Linked DNA regions of Tamandua tetradactyla. The main gene of each other region encodes a partner of the protein of the gene in region 2 in a complex. Links are inferred from orthologs where the notes say so. Each region holds a gene or a part of one and is shown on either strand. Other genes may lie near its edges.

Region 1 (7,670 bases), on a different chromosome or scaffold from region 2:
CATTTTACATTTTATTTAAAATCTGCCTGAGAGATTTCAAACAGAGTCAAGAGGTTATCCTGGAGGTTATTCTTACGCATTATATAGATATTCCCTTTTCAGTTTATGGTGTATTTGAGTGGCTGGAGCAAAGTACCTGAAACTGTAGAGCTGAGTTCCAGTAGCCATGTTTCTTGAAGATGCTGTATAATAATAAGGCTTTTACAATGTGACTGTATGATTGTGAAAACCTTGTGTCTGATGCTCCTTTTATCCAGGGTATGGACAGGGTATGGCATATATGAGTTTTCTCTTTTTTCTTTCTCTTGCTGGGGAGATGCAAATGTTCAAAAACAAATTACACCACTAAGTGGCTTGAAATGACAATAATAAATGCTCGTGCTTCATGGTTTCTGAGCTTCAGGAATTCAGGAGAGATTTAGCTGGGTGCTTCTGAAACAGTGCCTCTCATGATGAAGCTCCAGGGAGATGCTGGCCAGAGCTGCCATCACCTGAAGACTTTGCTGATGTTGGAAGATCTGATTCCAGGCAGATGGCTCAGCTGGAAAGCTGGTTTTGGCTGGAGACCTGTTTCACGGGAACCTCTCCTCAGGGCTGCTTGGGTGTCCTCACGAAATGGCTGCTCACTTCCACAGAATGAGCAATGCAACAGAGAACAAGAGGGAAGCTGCAATGCCTGGTTATCATCTGGCCTTGAAAATGACATGCCATTACTTTGTCCTCATTCTATCATTTGGAAGTATTCATGGGGAGTGAAAGTGAGTCTCACCTTTCGAAAGGAGGTGTTTCGGTTTGCTAAAGCTGCCAGAATGCAATATACCAGAAGCATATTGGCCTTTTTTTTTTTTTTTTGCATGGGCAGACACTGAAAATGTATTGGCTTTTATAGTGGAGATTTATTGAGTTACAAGTTACAGTTCTAAGGCCATGAAAATGTCCAAATTTCAGCACCAAGAGGATACTTTCACTGAAGAAAGGCTGATTGCATCTGGGTTTTCTCTTGTCACATGGGAAAGCACAAGGTGACATCTGCCAGCCCTTTTCTCCCTGCTTTTACTGCTTTCAGCTCCAGGTTCTGGTGAACTACTCTCTGAGATTCTGTCTGTCTCCAAGCATCTGTGTCTTTCTACTTTCTGTGTCCACAGAGTTTTCTCTCATAAAGAGCTTCAGGAAAGGATTAAGACCCACTTTGAATGGGTAGGTTCACATCTCCATGGAAACAATCTAATCAAGAGGTCCCACCCACACAATAGGTCTGCCCCCACAAGATTGGGTTAAAAGAATATAGCTTTTCTGGGTGCTTCCAAACCAGCACAGGAGGTGAGGTAAAGAATTTACAGATGTATTTTAAAACCACTACACTGTCCGAATTGGCTGTTCCAATCAACATTCCCATCAGCAACACATGTTGTGCTGGTTTGAAAGAATGTATGCCTCCTAGAAAAGCCATGTTTTAATCAAAATCCCATTTCATAAAAGTAGAATAATCCCTGTTCAATACCATATGTTTGAAACTGTGATTGGATCATCTCCCTGGATGATGTGATTTAGTTGAGTGGTTGTTAAACTGGATTAGGTGACCACATGTCTCCACCCATTTGGATGGGTCTTGATTGGTTTACTGGAGTCCTATAAAAGAGGAAACATTTTGGAGAAAGAGATTCGGAGAGAGCAGAGAACGACATACCCACAAGAAGCAGAGTTCACCAGCCAGCAACCTTTGGAGATGAACAAGGAAAATGCCTCCTGGGGAGCTTTGCGAAACAGGAAGCCAGGAGAAGAAGCTAGCAGATGATGCCGTGTTCCCCATGTGCCTTTCCAGATGAGAGAGAAACTCTGACTGTGTTCACCATGTGCCTTCTCACTTGAGAGAGAAACCCTGAACTTCATCAGCTTTCTTGAACCGAGGTATCTTTCCCTGGATGCCTTAAATTATACATCTATAGACTTGTTTTAATTGGGACATTTTCTCAGCCTTAGAACTGTAAACTAGCAACTTATTAAATTCTGCTTTTTAAAAGCCATTCTGTTTCTATATATTGCATTCCGGCAGCTAGCAAACTAGAACACATGTATATTCCCCATACTCACCAAATCGTGATTTCATCCCACTTTACATTTCACCATGTTGATGTGTCAAAAAGCGGCAACTTATTTGCATTTCCTGATTAGTAATGAGACTGAACTCTACTTTGTTTACAACCAGGGTACTTCCTTCTCTGGGAATGCTCAGTAAATATCCTTTGCCATTTTTCTGGCTGGTTGTCTTTCTAATTACTATTGATTTTTAGAGGTCCTGGATACTAATCTTTTTTCTGTTGTATACATCGCAGATTATAGTCACTGATTCAGTAATTTGCATTTCTTTTACTGTCCCAGTAGGTGATGATTCTTCACAGTATTTATGAAGTATGAAGTTATTCTTCCACTTTCATGTATTAACTTTTCATGTCCTTTCCCATTTAACTATTGGAATCTTTATATTCTGTTACTGTTTTCTATGAATTTTTTAGATATTAAGGCTGCCATTTGTTATCATTTAGTTGCAAAAAAATGTCTTCGCCTTCTTTTTAAGTTGACTGCCATCAAATTGCTTTGCAGGCAGGTCTGCTGCTCTTTTCCTTTGTGATATCTTCCACTGGGTTGAGGCTTAGAAAGTCTTCCGTCATTTATAACCATCCTTTAGCCAGTCTCCCTGCTTCCCATTTCTCTCTGCTCCAATGCTCTCACTTTGTGTTTACCGAGCACCAATTGAGTACCAGACCCTGTTCTGGGTGCTGGGATACAGCTGTGGAGGAGCAGATGAAGTTCTTTCAGAGGAGTTCCTAGGAAGTGCACACATCCACGGGAGGATATCAGAAAATCTGCACACCACAGCTACAGAGGCCTCCTCCTATCCTGCCACTTTCCTTCTCTAGAACTTTCCAGTGGTGAACCACTGACCTGACCTGGTATATTTTGAGATGGTTCTTCCAGCTCAGAGATGTGTCCCCTTTTCCCCAGCCCCTTCCCTTGCTCCTCTGGCTGCCTACTTCTCACCTGTTTCCACCCTCTTCATCCACCAGACCCCTTCTCCCACCTGTGAAGGTACTCCCTTCCCCTCTCCCAGAATGGGCTTCCATCTGTCCCTCTCATCTTCCCAGCCACACCTCCATCCTTGCAGGCCAGCTCTGCCATCGTTGCAGATCCAGGGGTCATGCTGCTTCTCTCTTCAGGGTCTCTCTTGATACGTGGTCCTCAGCCCTTATCCCCAGTCACCTCTGTGGGTGCCTTTTTTCTGGGTGCTCCTGATGTGTCCATGCTTCTGTCCTCAGCCACTTCTCCTGACCCCATACTTTCCCCCTCAGTGGGGTCCTCAGATGGCATTGGCAGGCCCCTCAAACTTCTTGGGGCCAAGAGGGCCTCATCTCTATTCCCAGTCAGCTCCTGCTCTGCCTTCCCTGTCCCCCACCATTCCTTTCGGGCTCTCCACTTACCTATCATTTGTCCATATCCTGGAACTTGCCCCTTTCCCAGGTTTCCAGCAGCACCAACCTCTGTTCTCACTTCCTGCCTCTCAGCCTCCTAGTCCCTGCTCTGCAGAGCAGCTTGTGCAGCCCAGGCCACTATGAAATGCAAATCAGCTTCTCTGCTGCCCTCGGGGTCAAGTCAAGCCTCCAGGGGGAACCTGTCTGGTCTCCAGTACTCCCTTCAGGCTCAGAAAACCCTGGGGCCCTCCCAGTCACTCACACGGCTGGTTCTTGCCTCCATGCCTCATTCACACTGTCCCCTTTCCTGGAATGCTTTTCCTGCTCTCCAGAAGTCTCCGTCTGTTGTACAGCTCAGGGGTCACCTCCTCCAGGAAGCCTTCCCAGGAACGCACTCATTAGGAATCTCTGCTCCCTGTTGGGTTCTCTGGTACTCTCTGGGACATCATTCCTCTTTCATTTATTGTCTTCCCCTCCCCCTTTCTTTTTAACCATTAGCACTCCCTGTCCACACCTCACCCCACCCCCTCTATAGGTCACCCCCACCCCATCTATCTTGAGACCCTGCACTGTGACATCTGCACATGGCCATCAGATGTGGTGTTGGAGGACCCGGACCCTCTTGGATGCGGTGTGGAGAAAAACAAGCTCCAAGAGTCCCCTCGGGACGACTGAGACAAGGCCCGAGATTTTGGAAACTGGACTTAGTCCAGAGTCCAGGTCAAAGGAAAATAAAACAACTTGTTCACACAGGTTTCTTCCACCTGACTTCCCAGGGCCTGGCCCAGACTTAGGCGTCTCCTTTCTCCAAATCCACCTAGAGGTTCGGCTACTGGTGGAGGAAGGAATGAATGAGGCAGGGAAAGAAGGAATGAATGAATGAGTGAGCGGGAGGGAGGGTGGGCGTGAAGAGGGTGGGGGGTGGGGGATGAGAGAGGGAGGGAGGGTGGGAGTGATGGATGAGTGAGGGGGGCAGGAGCGGGGGAGGAGGACGCGGATTTACGCTGAGGGACCCTTGCCAGGCGGGGGTCGGTGGTCCTCAATCCTCCGCGCGCTCCCCCAGGCGCCCGGCGCTGTGCGGGTGGGGCCTCCTCCGCGGAGCAGCTGCGGGCTCCAGCCCCTGTCTCCGGCCTTCTCTTCGCCTCTGCGCCTGCGCGCGGCCCACGTGACGCACCCTCCCCGCGCCCCGCCCCCGCCCCGCGAGTCGGCCTCGGCCTGCGGCGGCTCCCCAGGTGAGCTGCGAGGCGCAGGGCGGTGTCGGCGGCGGGCTGGGGAGCGCCGGCCCGGGAACACTGGCGGGGGCGGGCGGGGAGGGCCGCGGCGAGCGGTGTGGGCGCACAGGGGCGCGGGGCGGGCGCGGTCTGAGGCGCGGGGGCGGCGGCCTGAGGCGAGCGCGCGGCCTGACGTGGCGGGGGCGCGGCGGGGGCGCGGCGGCGGGGGCTGGCGGGGGGCGGGGGCCCCTGGGGCGGCCTCTTCAGCCGGGTAGGCCAGTGGCCCGCGGCGGGCCTCAGCGTGACCTTCCCCGCGGCGCCCCGGGCCTGCAACAGGCGGCTGCGGCGGGGCTTCGGGGCGCGGGGCGGGGCCTGACGCCACCTAGGGCCTCAGTTTCCCCGGCCGCGCGCTCGCGCTCTGGCCACCGTCTGAGGGGTTCAGTGTGGGGGTCCTGAGGGGACGCGGAGACCGCGCCGTCAGGGGCCAGGTCCTGGGGCGCGAGGCGGGGTCCCGCTTTCGGGGAGATTCCCCCCCCCCCCAGCCTCCCTTCCTGTCCTCTCCTCGCGTACCCCTGGCCCATCGCTGTAACTCTTCCTGCAGGCTGCCTACATCCGGGGTTCGTCTTGGGGCTCCTCGGAGGATCACCTTAGGACCCAGTAAATGGTTGTGCAGTTGAAATTCTTTCTGCCAGGCATACCTTCATTATAATTATTTTTCTGTCCAGTCTGTACTTGATGGGGGTCTAAGGCTTACTCTTTGATTCTCTGAAACTTTGGAAGGCATCGAGTGGGAATCTGGGATCTGGCTGGAGGGATCTGGGATCTGGCTAGAGGGATCTGGGGAAGAGCCTCAGGGTAGTCCTTTGTAAAATACGTCGGGAGGGGAGGGTGCCACAGCTTCAGCTTGGAAGAGCAGTCTTTATTCCAGAAAACAGGTGTGAGAAGGGAATCATAAAGGGTGTGCTGCATTTGGCTTAATTTTCTGTTTTTTTAGAATGCTGTCAATTGTGGAAATATGAATTTATCTATATATGTATAACTACATTTACTATATATTAAACTATATAGTAAAAACTCTGAAATGCGTTTTTGCATTTCAGTCAGAGCAAAGACTATAAAGAAACACTATTGGTGAGTTAGGCAGTTTCTCATGCTTCTCAGGTTCTCGTGCTTTGCTGCTTGGAGAATAAGTTGGCATAACCTGTATGCGGGGCAGTTTGACAATATCCTTTAAAATAAAAAATATTCGGTGTACAGGTGGTTCACTGGTAGAATACTCGCCTGCCATGTGGGAGACATGGGTTCAGTTCTTAGGCTGTGCACCCCAAAAATAAGAAATAAATTAAAAATATACTTTAAAGTAAAAATGACTCAGTAGTTCTGTGGCTCAGTAATTTCCCTCAGATAACTGCCACATGTATGTTGTGGCATGCATAGTTGAGTTGCGGGGCCAAACTGGTTGCAATAACAAACTGCAGGAAACCCAGATGCCCCTCCACAGAGGATTGTTCAAATAAAAATGGCTTTCCATATAATGGACTGTGCAGGAATAGGGTATATTTTCCTGTGCATCCCCTTCCTTCTGGAAAGTGGAATGATAGTTGCGTGTGGGAGAAGATTAGTTAGGATGTAGGTGAAAGAAAAACTTAAGTTTCATGGTATACTTTTCTACTGTACCTTTTGAACTAGAATCACGTGAATGTATTAACACACTCAAAAATAAGTGAGATTTTATTAAATATTTCAAGCTGACAGAAAAATACAGAGAATGATACACCACCTGTCCCATTCAAATCCTAATGCTTTGTCTTGCCTTTTCTTTTTTAAGAAATAAAACCTTTGGTCCTTCCTGGAGGTAACCATGACCTTGAATCTTATTTATCATTCCAATGTTTTTGTTCTGTTTTATACCATCATAACATCCATCTGTAACCAATATAGGGAGAGCATTGTTTTACATGTTTTCGAACTTTTTGTAGGCACAATTGTGCAATTTGCTGTGCCCTCTCTGTTTCTCTCTGCATGACTTTGAGGTTTTTCTGTGTTGACTGCTGTGGTTGGAGTTCTCCTTGGCTCACTGAAACTATCTTCTGGTATTCTGTTGAATCTCCAAGGCAGATGTTTCTGGGGTGGCTTGTGTTTGCTTTACGAAGAGGGTTCTCATATGCTGTCTTGAACATGTTGCGCTCTGTCGTGTGCCTTCTGAGCAGGGAATGCTTTCATTTTTCTTTACACACCCCTGAACACCTAGCTTAGTTCCTCAAGTTGTGCTTGTTAAATGGGGGCTGGGCCTACTCAAGGAAACAGCCTCCCAGTTTTGTGGACTTGTTTTTGCAGTAGGCATTGAGGGGTAGCTGCCTTCCACCTCTTCCTTTCCAAAGAATGGGGGGCTGCTGTGCTCCAGGTGGCGTGGGGCCCCCGCCTGGGGACTGGGTGTTTGTGATTGCAGCCAGTCTTCTCTACTGAAGAGGAAGCCAAGGCTTGGGGTTTGGAGCTAAGTTCCCAGAGTCATGTTGTCAGCAAGTGGTGCAGCTGGCCCTGGGCTGAGCAAGTGCATGAGATAAAACGCCAGCCGTCCGGGAGCTGGAATCTCCTGGGTAGGTGAGCCTGCTGTGATTGATGGAGTGTGGCCCTCGTGTTCTTTGTCCTGGGGAGAGAAGTGATTGAACTAGACCTTGACCAGCTCTGGGTTGTAGAGACAGAAAAACTGAGGCAGGCAGGTGAAGGCGGGCAGAGGGTGATGGGTGTCCATTTGGGTCTAAAAGCTAGCAACAGGATGTTGACGGAAGTACAGCTTGAAGGAGAGTTGAGCCAAATTTGGGGAGCCCCAAGTGGTACTAGGAGGAGGCCATGCTTGAGAAGTCAGGAATCAGAGGAGGGACGTCGTGGGACGGCCGTGTGGCCTGAGCGGGGAAACCGGGAAAGGATCAGACAGCAGGATAGCGAGACAAGTTTGGATGTCATTGCAGGGGTTGAACGAAGGTGCTGGCTG
Region 2 (7,008 bases):
TATTATTTTTTTTTTTAGCCTGACCGTGTGAAGAAAAATTAAGAGATGGGCTTTTATGATGTAATTAGTCATTTATGATTTTTCTTTTTGTTCAGGATGCAGCTTGTCTCATATGCTCATGTTTCACATGCTTCTTGTCTCAATGATATAAGGAAAACAGTAAAGACAAAGAAGAAAAGGTACATGGAGAAGGCGTACAGTTTTCATGTATTTAAAGTATCTATGATTGGGCAGGCCACGGTGGTTAAGCAGGCAGACTTCTCGCCTGCCATACTGAAGACCTGCGTTCGATTCCCTGCCCTGCCCATGCAAACAAATAAATAAATAAATAAATCGGTCAAAGTATCTGTGGTTATGTTCTTAATGGGGAACTCTCTCCCCATTAACATGTTATCTTACAAAGCTTGTAAGCATACATCTACCTTAAATATATACAAAGCCACGTCCAACGGCCTGCAATGCTTATTAATTGTCTGGTGGAGACAAGGTAAAAAAAAGTAGAAGACATAGCTCTTGCTTTCAAGGAAATGATAATATTTATAATCTATATCTTTCCCTTCCAATTTGAAAAACATGCATCTTTTCCTAACACAGTCTTTCCTTATTCAAATACACCGAACAGATCTTTCTAATTTAATTGGTGTCAGCTGTTTTAATATCTGCATAATCAAATCAGCAGTCTGACACAGTGATTAAAGTGCAGTGGTATCCCAGATACCTAAAACTTCCAGCTAAGTAAGTAGAAGCTACTCCCTTTCACAGGCTCTTCAGAGCCCATTCTATCTATTCACAGACTGGGGTGTAGAAAGAGAGCTGGCCCACAGGTCCCCTTCCTGACTGCTATGCACATGCTCCATACAAATCAATGGAAATGGGGCTACCATTTTCCCACGTCAGGACACAGTCAGCATAAGTAGCAACTCCAACTGGCAGGCATGCATGATCTAGTGAGTTCCTATTCCAGCCCTGCTTTCTCTGTAACTGTATAGCAAAGCTAATATCCTGAAAGTTCATTTGCTATTTGTGAATCAGGGACTATCAGTGGGCATAAAAGAATAGTCTACTGCTACTTTAGGGGTTATGTCATACATATTTAAAGGATGCTGCGTTCCTAAGAAAGGACATTTCTGACTTCTGGACCGTAGGGTACATAAAGCTATTGCTGAATGGTTCATGGGTTTGTGGTTTCCAAATCCTGAGAATGTGAATAGGACTATATGTCCTGTGAAGGCAGGTCTCATTTGTCATTTAACCTTAGTGCCTGACATACAGTAGCCATTCGATAAACATATCTTGATTGAACGGAAGAATAAATGAACACATGAATGAGTAGTGGATTTCTTAATGGCAGTGACAGACAAATTCATTTTGAAGTTTTTCTGTTTTGTGTGTGTGTGTGTGCTTAAAAGCCTAACAGAAGACATAGCTGAAAAGATTCTTCTTAAGTGCAGCTAAATTTTGCATAAGCAAAAGCAAGGTAAGAAAAACTGGGTTCACAAAACAATTGATGCAATGCTGGAGTATGAAGTTTTCTCAGGTTTACAGTGGAATAAGAAAAATCAGCACAATGTGTTGCTTTTCATAAAGCTAAATTAATCAATGTAAAGAACAGCTCTTTACTAAAAAATTGACCTTCCTTCTTTCAGTGGTTAAAATGCTTTTTCTTTACTAAACTGATGGGATAATCTGTGGTAGTTTTTCTTTTCTAATGCCATAATTATCAAATTAAAGTTGTTAATCCTACATCCGTTTCCTAATATTTTGAAAAATATTTTACTAGTTTGTGAAGTCTATGTCTTGAAGCCTGGCTTAGTTTTAAAATATGAACATTTTAAAAAAACATACATGTACCTTTTAGAAACCCACATATTAAATAAAAGAAGATAAACCATTATCTGTGAGTATAAGCAAGATACCAAGAGGGTAGCTGATGAGCACTGCTCTCAGGGCTTTTAAAAATGTATTAAGTCATTTAAAGTTGCTAACAGCCCAAACAGGAGGTATTATTATTATTTCAGTTTTACAGATGAGGAACTCTAGGCACAAGTTCTTGTCCCAAAATACACATAACACAGCCAGTAAAATGGCAAGGCTGGGATTCAAAGCAATATTACAAAGAAACTGGGCCACATGACAGTACACCAGTAGGAAAGCACTGGCTGTTTTCATATTCTAATGATCATGGAAATGATGGCTCAATTAGCACACAGATTATAAACTCCTATCCAAGATTTATATTATCTGATATTTAAACCAGAGCCCCTCCCAATCTTACCTTATTGTCCCAGTTATTGATGACCTATTTTTAGCTTCAGTATTTATTCAGATATTGCCTCAAGCAACACCCTCATTTCTTAAGCTCCTGCTTTGATAGGTTAATAGCAAAAATCAAAAACAAGAAAATACATTTCCAATGGGGCGTGTCAACCAAGTAGGGGCTGAAAGCATACTCACAAGGTAGTTACCAGGACTATGTTAACTTAGGGCAAATTCAACCGTAAATTAACAACTAAAAAAAGCACACTTGAGTTTACTTAATCGGTTTTGTTATAAAACAATTAAAACTCCGGTTTTCCAAAGTAGATGCCCCTTCCAAGAATTGTGAAGATCAAATACTTTAGTAGGAATGCACACATCCCTCCGCAGAGCCTGAAACCCAAATATAACAATAACTGAGCAAGTAGGTAAAATCAGGAAGTAAAATTCAAAATGAATGAAAAGGCAAAACGGACAAGTCAAAACTAAGTGTTTTGAGTACAGTGATAAAAAAAACCTTTCAATTTTACAGCAGCTTGAGTTAAAGACAATAATTTTGGTTTTAAATACCTACAATGCTCTTGGTAATGGTAAAAATGTTTTGACAGGTTAAAGGTAGGTTCTTATCTTCCATTTAATGCTATTTTCCAAACTATGGCACTACTCTAAGGGAGTTACTGTATTTCAACGGAAACGAAAAACAGATTTTAACACCAATAAGCCCTTAGTCCCCAGAAAATGTCAGTGAGTTCAGAGTCTGGGAGCTTCCTCAATTTAAGGAAATGTTGCGGATTAACACCTTCACCACTAAGTCCTGAGAGCTCGGTGAGCACAACCTGTACGAATACTCTGTTAAGCATACAGAACCCTAATTTCCGACACTGCAGGACACTCTGGCACAAACTCTTTCGGCTTTCTGGCTTCTACCCAGGTACCCATCCCTAGTACACATGCCCTAGAAAAACACAGGAACCAGTTCTAGGACGTAGCTATGCACCTAGCATCCCACGCTCCTCCCCGAGACTAGCCTTTGCCCACCCAGCCAAACCCCGTGCTGTCCACTTCCCCGCCGCGCCCGCTCTCCGGACTTCCCCCTCCCACTTCGCCCACGTGACCAGAACACCCCCGCGCCCCACCAATCAGCAACCACCTCTGCCCAGAGCCTGGTTCCGACGCTCGCCTGTGGAGAAGGCTGCTAACTCCTTCCGCCCTCAGCCCCGCCTCTTTCCCCGGCTCCTCGCCCCAGCGGCCCCTCCCATTTCTGCAACTCCCGGTTCCCCTCCTCCCTTCTCGCTGCACCCTCCCGCTCCCGGGCTCTGTGCCGCCCCACCTGGGGCAGCGCGCTCGCCCCTTTCTCGCGAGATCTGAGCGTCCCCGCCGCGGCCGCCTGCCTACCCCTCCCGTCCTCCCGTCCCCCCCTCCCCCCAATCTCTCCACTCTCCGGCTCTCCTCCCTCCCTCCTCCCCCCTCCACCCTCTGGGCCGGATCTCGTCTCGCTGAGGCGGAGGAGGAGAAGGAGGAGGAGGAGGACGTTCGGCCTGCGCAGTGAGATGTTTGTCCGTCGCCGCCGCCGCCGCCATCGCGGAGGAGCGCGATAAAGGGAGCCGAGCCGGGCGTGAGGGGCACCCCGCGGAGCCGCCGCGCCAGCGCAGCCCCCTAGCCGAGCCCGAGCCGTCGGAGCTCGAGCCGCCGCCGCCGCCGCGGCCGCCCAGGGGCCGGCCAGCTTCCCCAGCCCAGTCCGGGGGCCGTGCCGCCGCCGCCCCCAGCGTCGCCCCTCGCCTGCCCGCCCGCCTTAAATGTGACACCGGCGCTCGGAGTGCGACCTGAAGCCGCCGCCGGGGAGGGGACGAGCACCATGTCGAATCTGAGCAAAGGCACGGGCAGCCGGAAGGACACCAAGATGCGTATCCGGGCCTTTCCGGTGAGTACCTCCTCGGCGCCCGGGACCCCGGGGCCGGAGCTCCGGCCGAAAGCCGCACGCGAGGCCCGGGCTGAAGTCCCCCAACAGGCCGCAGGCCCGGTCTCCCCTCCCCCCACGCCCGCCGGCCGCGGGGCGCAAGCCTTCTAGGCAACCGGGCGGCGCAGGGCCCCGGCGCGGCCGCTCTCCTGGGCCGTTCCCCGTGCCCAGGCCCGGCTCCCTGCCCCACGCCCCGTAGCTGCGCTGCCAGCCGGTCGACGGGCGTCGGCTGCGGCCGGAGCCCCTTCGCTGGTCCCAACACTTCCCCTCATTACTGGGGTGTAGGCCCAAACCCAGGCACTCCTCTCCCCGCTCGTTTCCTGGGACTCCAGCCCAGCAGGGATGGGGAGTATCGTAGTCCTCCTTGTATGGGGTGTGTGTGTAAAATTTCACGTGTGATTTGCAGCGTCTTAAGAAATAACCCATCCTAAAAGACGGCCAAGCCTTTAGGGTGATAGGGGACTATCCTTTCTCTCTCTTTTTCTTTATCTCCTACTCTATTCCCTCCTTAGGAAGGGTTATGGGCCATCAACTTACTCTCGATGTAGTGACAGTGGTTCCACGTAATGCTTGATGGTAATATGCTAATAAATCCGTGTATTTATCACATCTTTCTTCCCATAACCGTCCAAAGCACTTCACAATTTCTCTCGTGCAGAAATTGCCTCACCAGGGACTAGGGGAAGCAAGAGAGAACAGATTGGACAATTGGTCCTCGATTTCCCAGCCTTGGAAGTCCAAACGAATGAATAGTCGTTGCCCTAAGTTGCATTACTCTATCGGTTTTAGTGACAGCAGATGTATTATGTTTAGAAACTTTGTTTTTATGTATCGCGTTGAGTCAAACGCTTGCGGCGTTTGGTTAGATAGGGTATAACTTTTGATTTCCTATCTGATTCAGATAGCCAATGGCAAGCAATTAAAATGCGCTGCTGTAACAGAAACTGGACATACTTGCTCTTGTCGCTACGGTAACAGGCATACGACAGGATAGACAAAGTAGCAGTTGAACTAGGATTAATTTTAAAAAGTCAAACTAGAGAAAGATCTTGATTTTCCTTTCTTAAAAGCATAAACGTACATCAGGTGAGCGAGAAAGGAAGGACATTTGTACTTTTTTTTTAAGCGTGCTTTTTCTAAAGTACACTGTTTGCAGAGAGAAAAAACTTAATATAATTGTCGTAGTTGAATGAGTAACAGTCCCGGAGAAAAAGAAAATACACTGGTGCAGAAATCTGAAATGTCATTGTTTAGAAATTTAAGACTATGTAAATAAAGGTAGGATGTACTCTAGAGAATTACATGTTTTGATACTGTTTAAACGGGTTTTGAATTTTTAAAGTTTATTCCCTAAGCAAATGTGAGAAATTGCATTAGAACATGAGAAATGTTGGTAAGAGTACAAATGTAACTGGCATGTTTTTCTCGTGATGGGGCAAAGAGCTGGATTTATGAATTTGTGAGTAACGTTTTCCTACTAAGACCTTTTTTAGCAGAGTTTAGAACTATTCAGACTTTTGTCAATTAAATGGACAACACATTTTCTAGGAAGTGTTTACTATCTTAAAACTGCTCTTTCTTGAAGTCTGAGCTCTTTTAGTTGAGATTTGTTGCTAAAATGTGGAGTAGCTCATATTTAACATCAACTCACCTGTTACGATAATATTATACTGATTAAAGAGTTGTTTCTCTTTTCACCTTTACCTACTTACCGACTGTTTGATCTCTAGATTTGCCTGCTTTTACCTGTTCCCCCTCTTTTCATTCAGCAAATGTTTATTGAGTATATGAACCACATGCTATTCTAGGGGCTTGGGGTAAATCTGTATAGCTTGGAAGACCAAGATCTCTGCTTTCTGGAACGTGTATTGTTGCAGGGCTTCGATGGAAGTGAATTTTCTTTATCCTTTAACTGACAAATATTTGTGATGATAGGTTCACAAATAGTACTGGAATTGGTTTAATTATGAATGTTTTAAGATTCTACTTAATGTTATTTACAGTGCTGTATGGTTATGAGCTAATTTAGACCCTTTCTGTCTATACTTTATTGTCCTGTTTTTCTAAAATCCTTTAATAAAAGTTTGCAAGGTTTGATATTTAGTAGTTAAAAAAATCTAATTTTTAAAAGCGGGAGTTTTTTCATTACTATTTTATAAGTAAGCTATTTGGAAGTAGCTCCTGTTGAAAAGAATCATTGTTTTTTAATATTTATTTTTTAATTCATAGTTCCATGAGCCTTCATTAAGGACAGATGCATGCTTCTGTGAATGCTGTTCAACTGATTTACCCTCTCGTGGTTGAGTACTTATATTCTTTTTTTTTTCTTCCAGGTTAGCAACCTTGACTACCTAACTACAGTCTTCATGGGTCACTAGTCAGAAGTAGTAAATGCATAGCCTTCCTTAAAGAAAAAAATATTGTTTGTGTGGTATACTTACAGCTAGTGGGTTTTACGTATACCATGTGGCCATATAGTTTCTTAGAAGTTAAAGGAAATTATAGTTTACCCTCAAGTCTCAAGTGCTCACTAATGATGTTTTTACAAAATTGATGTGTCAGAATTTATGAAAATATATTTTGCGAACGTTTTTTTTCATTGCAAAATGGAGTGGTGAGTGAACTTACCAAATATATTGTATAGATGTGTGGGTGGACTCTAGGTATAGTCCTACTTAGTAAAGTCAGGTGCTTTTTAGTGATTTGAGTGCATACTTAAAGTGTGCTTTTATGATTGTGCTGAAGAGTGAAAGTTTTATCGTACCACCATTTAATGCACTATTTGCTTTTGAAGT
Region 3 (7,942 bases), on a different chromosome or scaffold from region 2:
TCCCCCGATTGGTTAAGGAGGGCTGAGAGAAACTGCTGGTGTTGTGTACATACAGTGGTTACTTAGTCACACCCAGGTGGCAGAGGGAGCAAACGGCCCCACCATCACGTGCACCCCTTCCTGGTGATTGTGGGTAAACATTTTTCAAGGCCTGACTCAGAGAGTTTTTCTCTCTCTACACTGAAAATTAAAATTAGCTGAATTTTCTCATGTTGCTGCATCATCTGGTCCCTTAAAGAGCAGACTCTGCCTGGAAAAGAGTGTTATCTGCCTTGCAGGAGAGACAGGGCACCACATATCCCACCTCAGTGTACCCAGTCTGCTTTCCTCTTCTAGTTGTTGGGTCATTTCCTTTTGATGCTTAGGAGGCAGCACGCTGCTAGAACAGCAGAAGGGGTCCAGAATTTGCTAGTCTGTTTGTTTTCTTTGCCGTTCACCTGTCAGGAAGCCCTCTTGATAGTGCAGAAGGGCCCAGCCATTCCTCTGGTGGTCCCGCTTGTCCCTGGAGGACAGCCCTTGGCCTCTGTGTTGAAGAGGGGCAGGACCCCACCACCCCTGCAGTCTGCTCACAGACATGGCCTTGACTTGAATGTCCCAAGGGCATGAGAAGTCGTGCACTTTCCTTTAGATTTTTACAGAGCAGCACCAAGGAAACAGTGAAAGGCTCACATAGAAGAGAGTCTCCACACCACCTCCCTGCCCCTCCTATTTCTTATCTCAACTCTGTGAACCGGGCCAGGTCCAAATTGAGAGGAAGGATTTCTTTCAAACTGTTTCCATTTGAGTGATAAGTGGTTCTTTTTTAACTGGGAAAAAAGTGCAGGTTTGGAGAATGCCATTGGGATTGAGCAGTGAGAAGGGCTTGCCTCTGCTGTGGTTCCTGGGTGGGTGTGGTCCATGAGAACTGTGAGTATATAGGAGCTGGGTGGGGGGCGGGGGGCAAGGTGTCGGGGTGCCGTAGGGGGCAGGACTCTCGCAGGCACGGTGTCTGAGCACTCTCTGGGGCCCAGCAGGCTGCCCAGGGTGGCCGTTGGTCACAGTACCTCCTCTCCTCCTCGCTTTTAAAAAGGCTCACCTCTGTTCTTCTGCTTTTAAAAGGTGAGTCTAACCTGGTTGTATCTTTCAGGAGTTTCTTTTCAGGCTTACTTCTTTTTTTTTTTTTTACACTTTACACTTTCCAGAATGCCTCATTCTGTGTATGCAATGAGGAGAGTTTGGAGCTTGCCCCCAGCCTGTCCCCCTCTTCTGGGCTCTGGTTAATGGGACACAACAGAACCCGCCCTGGTCTAGCAAGGGCTCTTGGCCGATTATTTGGGGACAAGATACAGTTTACGTTGGCCTTTTCCCCTCTGGATAGCGCCACTACCTCTTGGGCGCCACCAACCAGCTCCCATTTTGATATCCTGAATGAGATAATTGGAAGGTTCAGAAGTACGCTCTCAGGTGACAACTGAAATGGCCACCCTCTGCCTGAGTGGATGACAACAGGCCTCTTCTCTAGAGACCATTTTCTCCTCTTACTCAGAAATGCCTGCCCCCCTTCCTTCACTTTTTAAGGTCTTTGCGTGTTCTTTTGCTTAGTCTTATCCAGCCCATCCTTGGAGCCGTAGCCCCAGCATGCCAGTGCCTTACGTTCTAAGATGTGCACATGGGTCTGGGTCATCAGACGTACGTAAGAGAAATTAAATGTGAATGTTATCCAAGGTGAGAAAAAAATCAGGGCCCATGTGTCTTTACCGGAGTCGGTAAGGACAAATGTAAATGCCCAGTCAGGCAGCCTGCTGAGCCGAGACTGCCCCCTCACCCCTTGGCACAGATGGGAGGAGGGATGGCCAAGAGGGCTGTGGGCCTTATTGGCTCAGGCAGCCCACTCTGCCTTGCCTTGCTGTGAGAGGAAGCTGGTTTGGGATGAGGCTGCTCCCTTCTCTCTGTGGACCAAACCTGGCCAGGCCAGAGCAAAGTCCCTCTGCAGATTGCTAAGTCCTGCTATCCCCGTGGAGAGCAGTGCAGCGTGCTATTTGAGGCCTCTGTTAGGTGGAGTCTGATTAAAAATTTGCTTTGGGAAAGATGGCTTGTGTTATCATATGCCAGAGCTGGCAGGCACCTCTTCACTCACCCCAGCCTGCTTTTCCGGCCACTCTGGTATTTGTGAGCCAGGCCTGAAGGAATTGCAGAGGAGGTAGCCCCATGGCACAGACCCTCAGAGCTCACCATGGGGTACTTTGTTAGAACCAGCATTTGTTTTCTGAAAAAATCTACTGCGGGCTCACCACTCAGAGAAGACCACTGTGAACGTTTTGGTGTCTATCCTGCCACTTATCCCCCTATGCACATTTATTGGCTTTGTTAAGTAAACTGGGATCACGCAACATATACAGTTTTGCATCAAGCTGTTTCCACTTGGTATTTGATCTTAAGCATTTCCCTATGTTGTGAACAATTCTTCAAAAACATGTTTTTAATGATGGTAGAGTTTAATGATTGTAAATTTTATCATAATTTATCTGGCCACTTTTCTGTTGTAAAACATTTATATAGTTTTTGATTTTTCAGTATTTAAATATTGCTGTGATGCATATCCTTATAAATCTTTGATTTTGACTCTATTTCCCCCCTCCCCCTTAGATTCCTAGAAGTGGTATTTTGGGATCAGAGAGTTTGTTCATTTTGAAGGTGGTATTGTTCTTTCTCTCTCTTTGATCTGATGCTTAGATGCATAGAATTCCAATATCAGAACATCCTTAGTTCTTTCCTTCAGATTCTGAACACATCCATTTCTGATAAGGTCTTTGTTCCGAAGAATGTTTGAATAAGACCACTGTTTTTTTAAATTGCTAAAATGATACCATTACTGCAATCCATCCATGATAGATTTTTTTTCCTAAAAACCAGCTTACTTATTTCCGTTGAAAGAATCTGATTGTTCATGCATGTTATCTTCCCATCCCTGCTGCTATGGCTTTTGAGTGGTTGGTGATATTTTCAGAATCTTGTACTTTGTGTCTACAATGGTACTGAATTTGCTTCTGCACAGTCAGCAGAGATAAGTGTTGAACTGACCTTGCCACATGTTTATTGGATAATTTGTTATTAAGTTTATAGACTCAGAAAGTATACTTGGCCTTTGAAATCTGTAGAAGAGCCTGTATACTTGAAAAAGAAACTGTAGACTGAATCTTATGGAAGAATGTGTGTGTGTGTCTCAGCTCTTCACACTGTAGAATATGGTCAGAAGGTTTTAGGGGTCCAGGAAAGCATAAGGGCCCAGTCTTTTTCAGTTTTGAATGTGATTATCCTGGCTGGTATGAATTTAAGGAGTTCTCTCCCGCCCCTCCCACCCCCATAGCTGTCAAGCCAGACCATCCAAATTTGATATCAATTTTATTTTTTCCATGTTAGGGGATCCATTGATTTTGAGGGTAAACATGCATGACAGATTTTTCCAGGCACCATGCTCAGTGCCACTTGACAACCAGAGGTTACGGTTGAATTGTGTGGAATTAGGCTGCTCGGCCTTTCTCTGACCCCCTAGTCCCCTCCCCTGGCTGGTCCACAAACAAGGGTGATCACTGCCAAGACATCAGAGGCAGTGCGAGCCACAGTCACTGCGAGCATGTGGTGAAGGTACTATTCTTTGAGATGTTGCCATACCTGTTTTTCTGTTTTGTTTTCATACCCAAACCTAGCATGAACTGTAGATGACTCAGGTGGGTGTGTCCTTTTCTCCTCAGGCAGTACACTTGGCAAGTGCTTTCTGATTGGGGCCTCTGAGGGTGCAGGCTCGCTGGCTGAAGCTCACACAGTTCAAGCCAGGCTGCCTGTGGAGAACTGGTCTGAGGAGGAGGCGGCTCCGGAGAGGGCAGTTTTATCTCTAGCTCAGATGGCCATGGTGGGGAACTGAACGAGCCTACGTGTATACCTGGGTTTTCCCCATAACTCATTTCTTCAATGTGAAGAAACACCAAACTTTATGTACAGAGAACTTTTTACAAAAGACAAACCTTTTTTAGCTGTGTGATCCACTTTAGTCTAAGCCATCTGGCTGAATGACTATGGATTGGGGTCATTTTGCTAGTGACAAGCCTCTATTATGACCATCAGCTTGATTGGACGTTGGCAAAATATAATTGTGGCAGTAGTTAGAGCTGCTGTAGCTGTTCGTTAAAAAACATAAGAACCGATAGTATGCTCGCTGCCGTTCAGGTTGGTGGCAGTCAGTTAGAGCATGTGTAATGTTCTCTACCTGGTCTGTAGCTGTAACTGTGATGTACAGGCAAAGCAAAAATTAAAAAAAAAATATGAAACAATGCAATGATATTAGGATATACACTTTTGTATTTTTATTCTTATATAAGGTTATTTGCTGGCTCTTGTTGGCCTCTAGTTCAGTCTGTGTTATTTAAATTCTAATATATGAATTATTTGGATTGAATTCATGTTCGGGGACACGTTGTATGTATTGATGTACAGCCTTGAATGTGAATAATTATTGTAAACTATATTTTACAACTTTTTTTCTGGCTTTATTATATAAATTTTCTATTTGGTCAATGATTTAATCATATCATAATTTAATGAGTCTGTTTATCCCCCCCCCCTTTTTTTCCCCAAGTATTTGTGCTTCAGATGTAGTTAACGGATGATGAATTCTCCACGTATGCTCGGTAGTCTTGTAATAAAAAAGCATGTAGAGGTGTTCGCTGGCGTGGCTCTTCCTTTGATCCGGAGTGGTCGCGATCTGGGATTTTGGAGATGAGAATCGAGCACCGGCGCACCCGGGCCACGCTGGGAGACCCTTGGCCCGGGACCGGCTCCCTCCGGAAGTGGGCACGGCCGGCCGATTTTCCCCGCCGGAACTTCCGCCTCCCGCGTGCCGTCGGGGCGGGCGCTCTGCTAGGGCTGGCCCGCGGGCGGGACGGAGCCGGAGGACGGTATTAAAGGCCGGACGCTTCCGGCGGAGGGGAGCTGTGGCGGGGCTTGCCGGGATCATGGCGGAGAATCACTGCGAGCTGCTGCCGGCGCCCCCGGGCGGCCTCGGGGCGGGGCTGGGGGGCGGCCTGTGCCGTCGCTGCAGCGTGGGCCTCGGCGCCCCGGCCCAGCGCCCGGGCAGCGTGTCTAAGTGGGTCCGGCTCAACGTCGGCGGCACCTACTTCCTCACCACCCGGCAGACGCTGTGCCGGGACCCGAAATCCTTTCTGTACCGTCTGTGCCAGGCCGACCCCGACCTGGACTCGGACAAGGTGAGGGCCGCGCAGGCCGGCCGAGGGGTCCGGGCCCGCGGCACACCCCCTCTTGTAGCTGCGGAGACCTCAGCGCAAGCGGCCACTCGCTGCGGGTCCGGGCTCCGATCCCCGCGCCTTCCGTCGCCACCAGTTCATCCCGGACCGTCCTGCGCGGGGAGGGAGAGGAAGGCGCCCTGGCGCCCGCCACCCTCGCGGATCCCCGGCCGCTTCTCCTCGGGGCGCCTCCCTTTCTTCCCGTCTCGCCCTTCGCGAAGGAGGTTTCCCAGACCCCGGAGTTTTTCTTCGCTGTGGGTCTCTTTTCTTTTCCTCCCTAGATTCTTTCGCCCCAGGGTATGAACCCCGCCGCTTCTTTGTCCCCGCGGACGTGCTGGCCGCGCAGGCGGAGAACCCTTGCTTTCTTCTGGTCTTTTCACATTGTGGACATTGACCTGACGCCGGCTTGAGTGGTTGGCACAGGTGACCTCCTTCCCAGTGATTTGCATTTAGAGAGTTGGTGCTCCCTCCGTTTCAACCACGGTAGCACGCGCCACCCCGCCGCTCAGGAGGTGTGCGCAGCGTGAGTTTTCGGAGGGAGCATTTCCTATGTTAAAGAGTGCCTTGGAGGTGCCCAAGCGGGAGCAGGTAGATCTTTTTTCACTCTGCTTTGTAAATAACTTTAGTTTCCCCATTACCTTCACAAAAGGGTAGGAATTTTTGAGGTTGGTTTGCAGCTTGTCTTTCCTTAAATTAAATGCTCATCCAGTTGTACGGTAATAGATGGTAGCAGAAGCTACTTTCATGATTACCTTTGCAAGGGTTGTAAGCCAAGGAGGAGTGTTTCTTAGGAGTTATAAAGGATTGAAGCTCCTGTTGGAAGAATAATTGTTACTTGTTTTTTGTCCTTGGCAGTTCACAAGCCTTAGACCAACTTTGCTGGGTCTCTCCGTTGAGCCTACATAATTACACTTGGCTTTGTTCCTCGCCAGCCCAACATTTGCTGTGCATTAGAAAGCTTCCTCTTTAAAGCAGCCATCCTCAGTATGGCATGACCTTTGTGCTCAGGAAACGAGAACTCTCAAGTTACCACAAAACCACCCATCCCCTTGTTAGAAACCAGGGTTTGTGATGCCAGCACTCTCATCCCCACTCCCCCTACCCCCTCCTTCCCCAGCTGTTTCCATTGCTGGTTTGACCAAGCTGTCTTCTCTTAAGAGAACTGATCTCCCAGAAAATGAGGCTTCTCCAGGATAGAAGGAGACTTTTGTTAGCTGTGATTTTCTTTTTATTATGTGGGTGTGTGCCTCACTGTTTTGTTTGTCTTTTGAAACAGTGGATCTTAGTGGTCATTCACTTGCATTTCTATTCACACACTCCCATTTTGTGTATTAAGTCACATTTCAAATTGCTTGTGTGCATTGGGTAGTTTCAAGGCATTGATTGTATTCAATACTGGGACAATCTACTCAAAGCTGATTGACTTTGGCTTGCACTACTGTCCAGTCTGTTCGTCCTTGTGTTTGTCTCTTAAGACTACTTAAAAAAAAAAGCTGCAAAAAAAAAAAAGCTGCTTTACTGTAATAGAAATCACTGCGGGGGGAGGGTTAATTAGCCAGTATATCTGTGCTGTAGTTGTTTTTTTTCATCATCCACTTTAGCACATTTGCTTTCCTAATTGTCAAACCAAAAATTAGTATGTGAACATAATACAGCAGATAGTCTCAATGTCTCAGAAAATACCTTCTAGTAAATAAGGGTTAGTTTTAGTGATGGATAACATGAAATTGCCAGAAAGGGTAGTGCTAATTCACGTTCGCGACACTTGTATGGTGTTCTGCTTTAAATGAGAAGAATGTATATATAAAAAGCTTTATGCACAGATTTTTTTGTTGTTCTGATGAAAGAATGTCCCAGGAGAGTCACTCCTGGAGAATTACACCCTGAGTGAGGAATCCAAAGATGAGGGTGGAGGGGAAGGGGTGATAGGAGGAGTGGGGTAATTTCATGATGGAAGACAAACAGGATGTTGAGTCACATGTAAAAATCTCTGTGCTCTGACATCATAGTTAAGTTAATGAAAGGCTGCCTGGCGGATATTCCCTTCCTTGAATTTAAACACAGACCTGGGGAAAGATTTTCTGTTTGGCATCCGACTGCTGTTGATTGAGCAGCTGGGCACTCAGGTGAGCGGGCGGGTGGGGAGAATGGAAGAGGGAGAAGAAACAGGAGACCGAACCTTTCAGAACCTGCCCAGCATTTGGAGATGCCTGTGAAGGGCTTCCAGAGAATGCAGGCTCTAGTGGTGAGCTACATCAGTCACGATGTGTAAGCAGAGGGTTTCTGGAGGAGGAGTGAGAAGTTGACAGACAAGTAGGGAGGGTGGGGAGTGGGCCCCAAGCCAAAAGCTGGGGATTCTTTGCAGGGCACAGGCAGCTGCTCTCACCCTCCTCCCGCCGCATGTCTAAGCCTGTGCGTGGGCTGCAAGTGCCACTCCCCCTACCCCGCCCCCCAGGTCCTTGCACTCCGTGTGTCAGGGCCAAGCCTGGGGCCCACTGCCTGCCAAGCCCCGTTCCCCTCTCCTCAAGGCTGACTGGAGTCCACTGTTTCCATGAAGTTCTCTTTCTAGGCAGCTGAAGGGTGTATTTTCCACTTCCTCCTGGGACTTCCTCCAGCGGGACTGGCTGTGTTGTGCATTTCATTATTTCCTTGCCTGCTGTCCTGTA
Region 4 (7,828 bases), on a different chromosome or scaffold from region 2:
TTTAATGGCAGCAAACACCGCCTGTGAGGCTTTTCTCATTTCATTATCAATCCATTGAATTAGGGGGTTGTTGAGAGCCTGCTGTGTGCTGGGCGCTGTCAGATCTGGAAATGAAGCAGTGAATAAAGGAATGCCCTGCTTTCCTCAAACTTACCCTCTGGGAGAGAAGACAGCCAATTAAAAACAAAACAAAAATTTAAATATATATATACATGTGTGTGTCACCAATGCCCTCCGGCCAGAGACCACCAGGCACAGCTGCAAGTGAATAAGTTGGGTTTAGGACCTGCTGCAATGAGACAGAACACACAGGGGGGATAATGGGGTGCCCTAGTAAAGGGGTGCTGGGAAGAACCTGTAATAGGATTTGGACTTTAGATGGGTGATTGGTGCTCTCAGAAAGGGGGGATGATTCTGTGACTGGGTATCCCAATAAATCTTCCTTAAAGTGGGGCAGACCAGAAAGAGGCTTAAACTGTAATTAGTGAAGAAACAATAGTCACTCACTCTGGCCCCCAGAGAGGAGGATTTGGGATATTTTGTGGCTTGGACAATGTTCATGTTTTACCCTTGTTGAAACCTGACAATCCATGGTCTCGCTTTTCCCTTGATCCAGTGTGTTTTGATGTGATGTTCTGTGAAATAATTTATGTTCATAGGAGAACAGCTGTGAGCGCCACGTTGTACAAGTGTAAAAACGCTGTGTGTTTATACACATAACAGGCAGCAGGATAATGATATATTCTGGAAACCTCAGTGGCAGCCAGGATTTTCTGGGAAAACATAGGTTATCAAAATCGTCTCAAAGATATGTAGAAAAACCCACAAGTCCAATGACAATGGAAAGGGTGCCAGGGGCTGCTTCTCTCTTTCACTGTATGTACCTATACGTGGCTTCAAAATGGGTAGGGGATGGGGTGGCCGGGGCGGGAACGTGGTTACTTCATGCAGGGGCTGGGCAGGGAAAGCCCATCTGATAGGGTGAAGCACAAGCGTGAAGCCTGTGGACATGGCAGGGAAGAGCCTTCCAGGTGGAACAACTAACCCAGCAGAGACCGTACCTTGGGAGTGCGATGGGCTGGTCTGAGCACCAGCAAAGTGGTTGATGGGTCTGCAGCAGAGTGCTGGGTGCAGGGAGGTGGGAGACGGGGTGCAAGGGGTGGCCCTGGCCGGGCCCAGCAAGGCCTGCTGTCCGACGTGTGGACGCTGACCCCCACGCTGGATGAAGATGGACAACGCCTGTGGAAGATGTTGAGCAGAGAAAGGACATGATGAGGTTTCCTTTCAGCAGCTGTGTTGAGAATAAACTCAAAATAAAAAAGAGAGAAACTGGACTCGGTTGGGGAGGGGATGGTAGGGAGCAGAGAGATGAATCAGGAGGCCGCTGCAATGGCCCAGGCCAGGGATGACTGTGGACGTGGTGAGAGGGGCTCAGTCTCTGCAAGGATTTCCTGATAGTGGGATGTACCAGAGAGTGATACCAAGATGTTTTATTTGAGCAAAAGGAATGCTTGAGTTGTCCTTTCCCGAGCTAGGGAAGTCTGTAGGAGAAAGATCTCATTTGCAGGGCAGCATATCAAGTCTCCGTGGGGGCAAGTGAGGATTGAGGGGACCCTGGACATCCAAGCAAAGTCATTGAGGAGCAACTGTACTGATGAACCAGGGGCTCGTGGAGAAGTCAGGGTTGGGAATACAGCTTTGGGAGTTGCCAGTGTTTATAGAAACTTAAGGCCATGGGCCTAGATGAGGTCTCCTAGAGAGTGTGAGTGGGGAGGGAAGGGGTCTTCCATGTACCTGCATTCATTTCCAGAGCACTCCATAATTTGCGAGCCTAGGAAGCAAGGAGAAATCAGCAGAGACGACTGAATAGGGAAAAGTAGAAGGAGAACCAATAATTCAATATCTATTATCAAATATGTATTGAGTTCTATGCTTCATCCTAGAGTTTCTAAGACCTTAGATTCTGGGCTACCAGGAATACAGGACAGATGGTCATGTCAGGGGGATAAAAGGTGTTGACTAGAATGGTTGGCTGACACCAGACATCTGTTCTTCCCCTTTTCCTTGGTAACAGAGCCCTGATTTTGTTTGGGGAAGGTGATACACTCATATAGAAGTCAACATTTCCCAGCTGCCCTGGTAGTTAGATGTGGCCCTGTGACTAAGTTCTATCCAATAAGATATAAATGGAAGCATTGTGTGGGATTTCTGGAAGCTGGTTAAGTGGGGCTGACAGGGCTGGAAGGTACACATCTGTTGCTCTTCCGCCCTTATTCCTTCCTGCTGCCTGGAATATGGATGCTATAGTCAGAGCTCTAGGAGCCATCTTGGACCATGAGGCAACCCTGGAAATGGAACCCAGGCATTAAGGATGGCAAAATGGAAATATAGGAGCCCAGGTCTCTGATAACAGTGGATTGCCTAACTTAAGAATTCTTTTACATGAATGAGAAACAAACTTCTATCATGTTTAAGTCACAGTTATTTTTGGTTTTCTATCATATGGAGCAAAAGCTAATTCTGATACGAGATTTTTTTATCGTGTTTCAAAACTGTGTGTTCAAACAATTTGTGTGAGGGACCAAGGATTCAGAAATGGCTGTCTTGGCCCTCCAGGACTCACTATGCAGGGGGGAGGACAGGTACACAGGTCACTACAATGCTGGGTTGGAAGGGGTTGTGATGGTGGTTCTGCTCCAGGGTCTACAGTGAGGACTGAGACAGATGGTGAAGCAAGCTTCATCGCCTCTTTTTCTTTCAACTTGTATCTAAATGCAATAACTCAACACATGTCTTGATCTGGTTTCATTCCATCGCCTTTATTTGATTTTAATGTATTCCAGTACCTAAATTAAGCCTTGGAGTTGGGGGGGGGGGGGAAATGATAATCTAGACCAGATTTTAGATGGTTGGCATTTATAATTTCATAGAGAACCTGTATGGAATGTTAAGTAGTGGTTCCAAACTTTCTGAGAGTCAATTTTGCATGTGGTGCTTCATCCAACCAACAATTATATAAATTCCCTAGCTGTAGAAAATTGGCAAGAAATTAAAACTATAAATATGCTCTGTGTCATTTCTTTAATGGAGCAATTATTTTGATGCTGCGTCTTTCCCCTTTGAAGGTACTTTGGTGCATGTGGCCAAATTGCTCTTAAATAATAGAATTTTTGTATTTTTAAAGTCTCTGATCTGGACCAGAGACACAACCCTGCATAAAGCAGAACCACCATCACAACCCCTTCCAACCCAGCATTGTAGCGACCTGTGTACCTGTCCACCCCCCTGCATAGTGAGTCCTGGAGGGCCAAGACAGCCATTTCTGAATCCTTGGTCCCTCACACAAATTGTTTGAACACACAGTTTTGAAACACGATAAAAAAATCTCGTATCAGAATTAGCTTTTGCTCCATATGATAGAAAACCAAAAATAACTGTGACTTAAACATGATAGAAGTTTGTTTCTCACTCATGTAAAAGAATTCTTAAGTTAGACACTCACTAGGTGCCACGTTCATTACATGCATTATCATATTTAATCTTGACAATAACTCTGCAAGAGAGATTGTAGAATCCTCCATTTACCAGTATGAAGCAATCCTATACAGCTCTTGAGGGACACAGCTGGAATTCAAACCAGGTCTCACCCATTCTCTACCCATACTATTTCCCCCAAAATGCCTTCCCTGGTCATATTTTCTCTGTCATCTCAGAGCCTTTGAAGCCTGGAATCTCTTTTGCCCAATCTAAGGAGGTTTCTAGTCATGGGGCTCTATTTCCATTTCCACCTGTCATAATCCTACCCTTCCTTTAAAAGCATTTGTACACTCCTCTCCTCCTCCTTAAACCTTCTTTGCACCTCCCATCTGTGACCTCTGCTTACTAGGAATTCTCCCTATTCCAATGTTCAGCTGGCTCTTATCACTTTCTATACTTCACTAGAGTTATCTGTAACCTTAGGTGACCTACTTGACTTATCTTTCTTCAGTAAAAGGAAAAAAAGAAAGAGTATTTGTTGTGTGCCTAGTCATAGAAGTTTTGTCTTCTTTAATCTTCCAAATAATTCCCTGAAGAGTTTTTAACTGCCATTTTACAGATGAAGAAATTGCATGCATAGCAAGCTTAGTGATGGAATAGGATGCAAGCCCTATAGGAATGCATGGACGAGGAATTAAGAATCTTTCAATTCCCTAGAGACTAACCCACAGGCATCTAGCAAACATTTGTGGAATGAATGAATGAATGAATATTTGAAAGCTGGCTTACAAAAAGAGCCCAGTGGGAAATGGCAGGGGTAGGAGCGCCGAGATACCCTGAAAAATGCAGATTCCATGCACAAATGAGGTCTGTGGGTGCCGAAAATTCCAACCATTGAAATCGGCCCGGAGTAAAAAGAAAGGGTTTCTTAACCTCGGGCAACTAAGAGTGTGATTCTAGACTATGCAACGAAACCTACAGGTTTGTAATCTGGGGACGGCAGTAAACGTATATGCAACGTACATAGCCCCTTCCTTAGGAAAGTTGTAGAACACATTTTTGCTTTGGGTTTCTAACTTTGGCCCTAGGAGGCACGTACGCGCCTGCCCCTTTAAGAATCAGGACGAAGTCCTTCTCCTGGGCCTGCTCCGCCCCCTCCCTGTACCCCGCGGCCCGGGCGCCCACCCCTTTCTCCTCCTCCGAACTAACACGGGTTCGGCTGTCCATCTGTCACAGAGGTGCCGCCTCTGATTGGCTGCTGTGCTTCGGCCAGGGAGGCGGGGCGGGAAGGCCGGAGAAACTAGTTTGTTGGCGGCGCCCGGGCTGTACCGCAGCGGGAGCGCGATCCGGGGCTGCGGCGGAGCCGGCACGCAAGCGGCGGCGGCGGCGGGGACTGCGGAGCCTCGCGGAGCGGTGAGGGGCGTCTGAGTGCGGTGGCCGGCAGCGCCTGGGGCGGTGAGTACTTGGGCTGGGGGCAGGGGCGCCGACTCGGGGCCGCCCGGCTCCAGCGCGCCCGGTGCAGGTTCTGCTCCAGGAACCCGGCGCGCGGAGCCCCCTCCCGCCGCGGGCCTGGGGAACCTGTCCGGCCCCGGGACCCGGCAGCGCCGGGCCCCGCGCGTCCCGCCGGCGGGAACCTCCTGCGGAGGGAGCCTTGGCCCGGCCGCATGTCCCGGCGGCAGCACGGCGCCGACTCGCGGAATTGTCCCGGCCGCCGGGGGGTGCGTGGGGCCTGGGGTCGGGGACAAAGGGGGACCGCAGTCAGCCGCGCCGGGGCCTGGGGGCCGCGGGAGGGTCTCTGCTGAGCGCTGTGCGCGGGGGAATGAATTGCTCTGCAAATGGATGTTGCGCGCGGGAGCTGCGACTCTCCCTTGGGAGGGGTTGATTCATTGAGCCTGCAGACTCTCTTTTTAAAAAAATCACTATTGATCCCGGAAGGAGGCAGCCGCTGTTCGCTGAGGGTGTGCGCGCGCCTCGGCTTTGAGCCCCGGCCGAACCGTGGATACCAAGGGAGAGGTGGCTGCCGGGGCAAAACCAGGAGAGATGGGTCTAGTCTGGCGGGGGTGCTCCAGGGCGCAGCCGCTGCTGGGGAGAGGAACTGTCCGATTTCTTTGTCGGGCCGAGTAGGTCTCTCGCCGGACACCGTGATGGTCTGTTTAGATCTGGGGGCGCCAGAGAAATGGTCACAGCCCTGAAGTCACAGCCACCTGCCCACCTGGAGGGCGGCCACCTGGCCGGCCGAGAACAGGCCTCTTCCAGCCTGACTCCTTTTCCCCATCTCTCACCCTGGTGCCCAGACCCGCCCCCGGCCCCACCCCCACCCCCACCCCCACCCCCACCCCCTCTCCCCTTCGTAATTGCTTTAGAAGCTTTTGGTTTGAGGATTTTTAACCAAACCTCCCCAACAGGGACACTACCCACTTTCTTTGCTCTAGCTGCAGAGGTCCCCAAAATTCATTCCCATTATCTTAGAGCAAAGAAAACCTATAGAGACATGAAGGGATTGGGTCTAGGGAGGGGGTGGGCAGCTCCCTGCAGATTGTAGCTGGACACTGCGGTCCCCTGGGGCCCAGTGGCTGTCACCATGGGGAAGGCTTGCTGGGCTTCTGCCCTCTGTGGTCAATTAGGGCACAGAACGTCGGGCACCTGGACCCTTTGGTTTTGCTCTGGCCCTGATAGGCCCTTCTAGGGAGGGAAGTTCTCGGCAGCACTCGGAGAGAAGCAGGAACCTCCGTCTTATCACAGTCTAGACTCGGGAAACTGTGAACAGGAATCAGGCCCCTTGGGACCTGGGCGTTGGCCTCCCCATTTGTAGAGGGACCAGATGCCTGCTGGGCAGCCCTGCAGCCGGGCCTCCTGGGAGCTGCTGTGAGGCTCGCACTTGGGGCTGGGAGAAGCAGCTGGGAGGAGCAGGACACAAGGTCCACCCCACCAGGGGCACTTCAGTGTTCTTCAAAGACAGGGGTTCCTTGAATCCCAGCCCCTCCAAGGCCCGGCAGCTGTTTGGATCTTGAGTCATTCCGTTTGTCAAGAAGTGACTCCAGGGAGATTATTAAAAGGAAGGTGGAGGGAAACTGAAGGAACCTTAGTCTTGGTTCTCCACCGCAGTCACAGTCAGATTTATGTTCGTGGTACGGAGAGAGGAGCTGAGGGCGAATGTGGGCTGCACGTTGGAGGCAGCTTCTGCAGCCCCATGACTTAATAGCAGCTCAAACCTGCAGGCACTTGGTGTGGGCAGAGGAGAGCAGGAAGGAAGAGAAAGCTACTAGGAGCCGAGGTATGTGGCCTGCGATGAAAGCAGGCTTGGTTCTTCCCATACAACACAATAGGGATGAGGGAGAAGGAGTGTGGTATTTAGTGGTGAATTGGTCATTCATTCATTCATTGATTAACTCATTCACCGGACAGGCTTGGTGGGGCACCCGCTGTGTGCTACACCCCGGGCTGCTGGGTGCTGGCCACCCGCCTTCAGGGAGCTGCTAGTGTGGAGGGCTGGGCCGTGGGCCTGCACACTGCCCCAGGGATATTGGCAGCAAGTGGAGGTGAGGGGGCACAGAGCAGAGCATGGGGCTGGGGCTGGGCTTCCCGAAGGAAGGCTGGAGCCTCCGCTGAGGAAAGATGGGGCAGTGGCATGCCACAGTGCAGTCTGACTGCAAGCCTTAGGAAGCTGCCGTGTCTCCCACACCCACCCACAATTTTCCTAGAGGCCTGTTCACTGCTGCAAACCTTGAGGTAGGTGCAGCAGGCTCAGGTCCAGGTGGGAGGGGGCGGAAAGGTTCTCAGCAGTGGGTGACCCAGGCTGCAGGGCTAGTGGGACCGGGTGGTCCTACATGAAGCCGGGTGGCTTCTGATGCAGCCTCTGCTCAGGGGGGCTGGGAGAACCCAGCCCACTGGCCTGAGGCTGGCTCAGTGCCTACACCCTCAGTTCCTCCGTCCCAGCCAACCTCATGGGGGTAGCCTCGTCTGAATGGGAGGGCAGAGCTGGCTCGAGCAAGCAGAGTGGCCAGGCACAAATGAATTGGCTAATTGAGAGGCTGATTTTCGTCTCATGTGTGAAATTTCATAACTGAATTGCCTCGGCTGGCCAAGGCTGCTGAAATGTTTTGTGTTTTACCAGCCAGGAAACCCTTAGTTGGGACAAGCTGGGGTGAGGAGGGGTGGGGGTCAGGGGAAGGGGGATGGGGAAGGGAACAAGAGGTGGGTAGCACTCATGGCTCCCTAGCCTTTAGGCACAGCATTCCACCCAGACTCCCCCTTATCAGCCTGCGCCTGCAGCCCCTCCCCCCGATGGAGGTCAGCCCAGCTCCCACAGAAGGTCCCAACCCTTTCCTGGAACCCTCATCCCCTGAGCAGG

Evidence for each region.
Region 1: the proteins of CUL3 (region 2) and KLHL22 are in contact, whole or in part, in a cryo-EM structure (PDB 8K8T), measured with the Homo sapiens proteins. The link is inferred for Tamandua tetradactyla from reciprocal best matches to the Homo sapiens genes CUL3 and KLHL22. Residues at the interface, in NP_003581.1 of Homo sapiens: Thr14, Arg17, Ile18, Arg19, Ala20, Phe21, Pro22, Met23, Met25, Asn49, Ser50, Gly51, Leu52, Ser53, Phe54, Glu55, Tyr58, Tyr62, Leu66, Met118, Asp121, Ile122, Met124, Tyr125, Arg128, Val129, Gln133; in NP_116164.2 of Homo sapiens: Asp73, Tyr74, Arg76, Gly77, Met78, Gly81, Gly82, Leu83, Lys84, Glu85, Leu92, Ile93, His94, Leu117, Gln121, Val125, Cys128, Gln129, Gln131, Pro133, Trp146, Glu150, Asn151, Asp154, Val155, Arg157, Leu161, Phe162, Asp163, Ser165.
Region 3: the proteins of CUL3 (region 2) and KCTD5 are in contact, whole or in part, in a cryo-EM structure (PDB 8U83), measured with the Homo sapiens proteins. The link is inferred for Tamandua tetradactyla from reciprocal best matches to the Homo sapiens genes CUL3 and KCTD5. Residues at the interface, in NP_003581.1 of Homo sapiens: Thr24, Met25, Asp26, Glu27, Lys28, Tyr29, Val30, Asn31, Ser32, Ile33, Trp34, Asp35, Leu36, Leu37, Asn39, Ala40, Glu43, Asn48, Ser50, Leu52, Ser53, Glu55, Glu56, Leu57, Arg59, Asn60, Ala61, Tyr62, Thr63, Met64; in NP_061865.1 of Homo sapiens: Trp45, Phe55, Leu56, Thr58, Thr61, Arg64, Asp65, Lys67, Ser68, Pro96, Thr97, Tyr98, Phe99, Gly100, Pro101, Leu103, Asn104, Tyr105, Leu106, Arg107, His108, Gly109, Lys110, Leu111, Val112, Ile113, Asn114, Lys115, Leu117, Val122.
Region 4: CUL3 (region 2) and KLHL25 share a complex: the UniProt entries of both Homo sapiens proteins name them as parts of the BCR(KLHL25) E3 ubiquitin ligase complex. The link is inferred for Tamandua tetradactyla from reciprocal best matches to the Homo sapiens genes CUL3 and KLHL25.

Annotation. Positions count from the first base shown.
Region 1 is NC_135331.1:27,298,771-27,306,440, forward strand, and holds the start of KLHL22 (kelch-like protein 22), read left to right. Parts: upstream 1-4,655; 5' UTR 4,656-4,699; intron 4,700-7,670. UniProt on the Homo sapiens protein: Substrate-specific adapter of a BCR (BTB-CUL3-RBX1) E3 ubiquitin ligase complex required for chromosome alignment and localization of PLK1 at kinetochores.
Region 2 is NC_135329.1:200,351,202-200,358,209, reverse strand, and holds the start of CUL3 (cullin-3), read left to right. Parts: upstream 1-3,994; 5' UTR 3,995-4,111; coding exon 4,112-4,177; intron 4,178-6,452; exon of another isoform or gene 6,453-6,467; coding exon of another isoform or gene 6,468-6,512; intron 6,513-7,008. UniProt on the Homo sapiens protein: Core component of multiple cullin-RING-based BCR (BTB-CUL3-RBX1) E3 ubiquitin-protein ligase complexes which mediate the ubiquitination and subsequent proteasomal degradation of target proteins.
Region 3 is NC_135349.1:54,764,818-54,772,759, reverse strand, and holds the start of KCTD5 (BTB/POZ domain-containing protein KCTD5), read left to right. Parts: upstream 1-4,932; 5' UTR 4,933-4,988; coding exon 4,989-5,240; intron 5,241-7,942. UniProt on the Homo sapiens protein: Its interaction with CUL3 suggests that it may act as a substrate adapter in some E3 ligase complex. Does not affect the function of Kv channel Kv2.1/KCNB1, Kv1.2/KCNA2, Kv4.2/KCND2 and Kv3.4/KCNC4.
Region 4 is NC_135338.1:93,727,824-93,735,651, reverse strand, and holds the start of KLHL25 (kelch-like protein 25), read left to right. Parts: upstream 1-4,823; 5' UTR 4,824-4,932; intron 4,933-7,828. UniProt on the Homo sapiens protein: Substrate-specific adapter of a BCR (BTB-CUL3-RBX1) E3 ubiquitin ligase complex involved in various processes, such as translation homeostasis and lipid synthesis.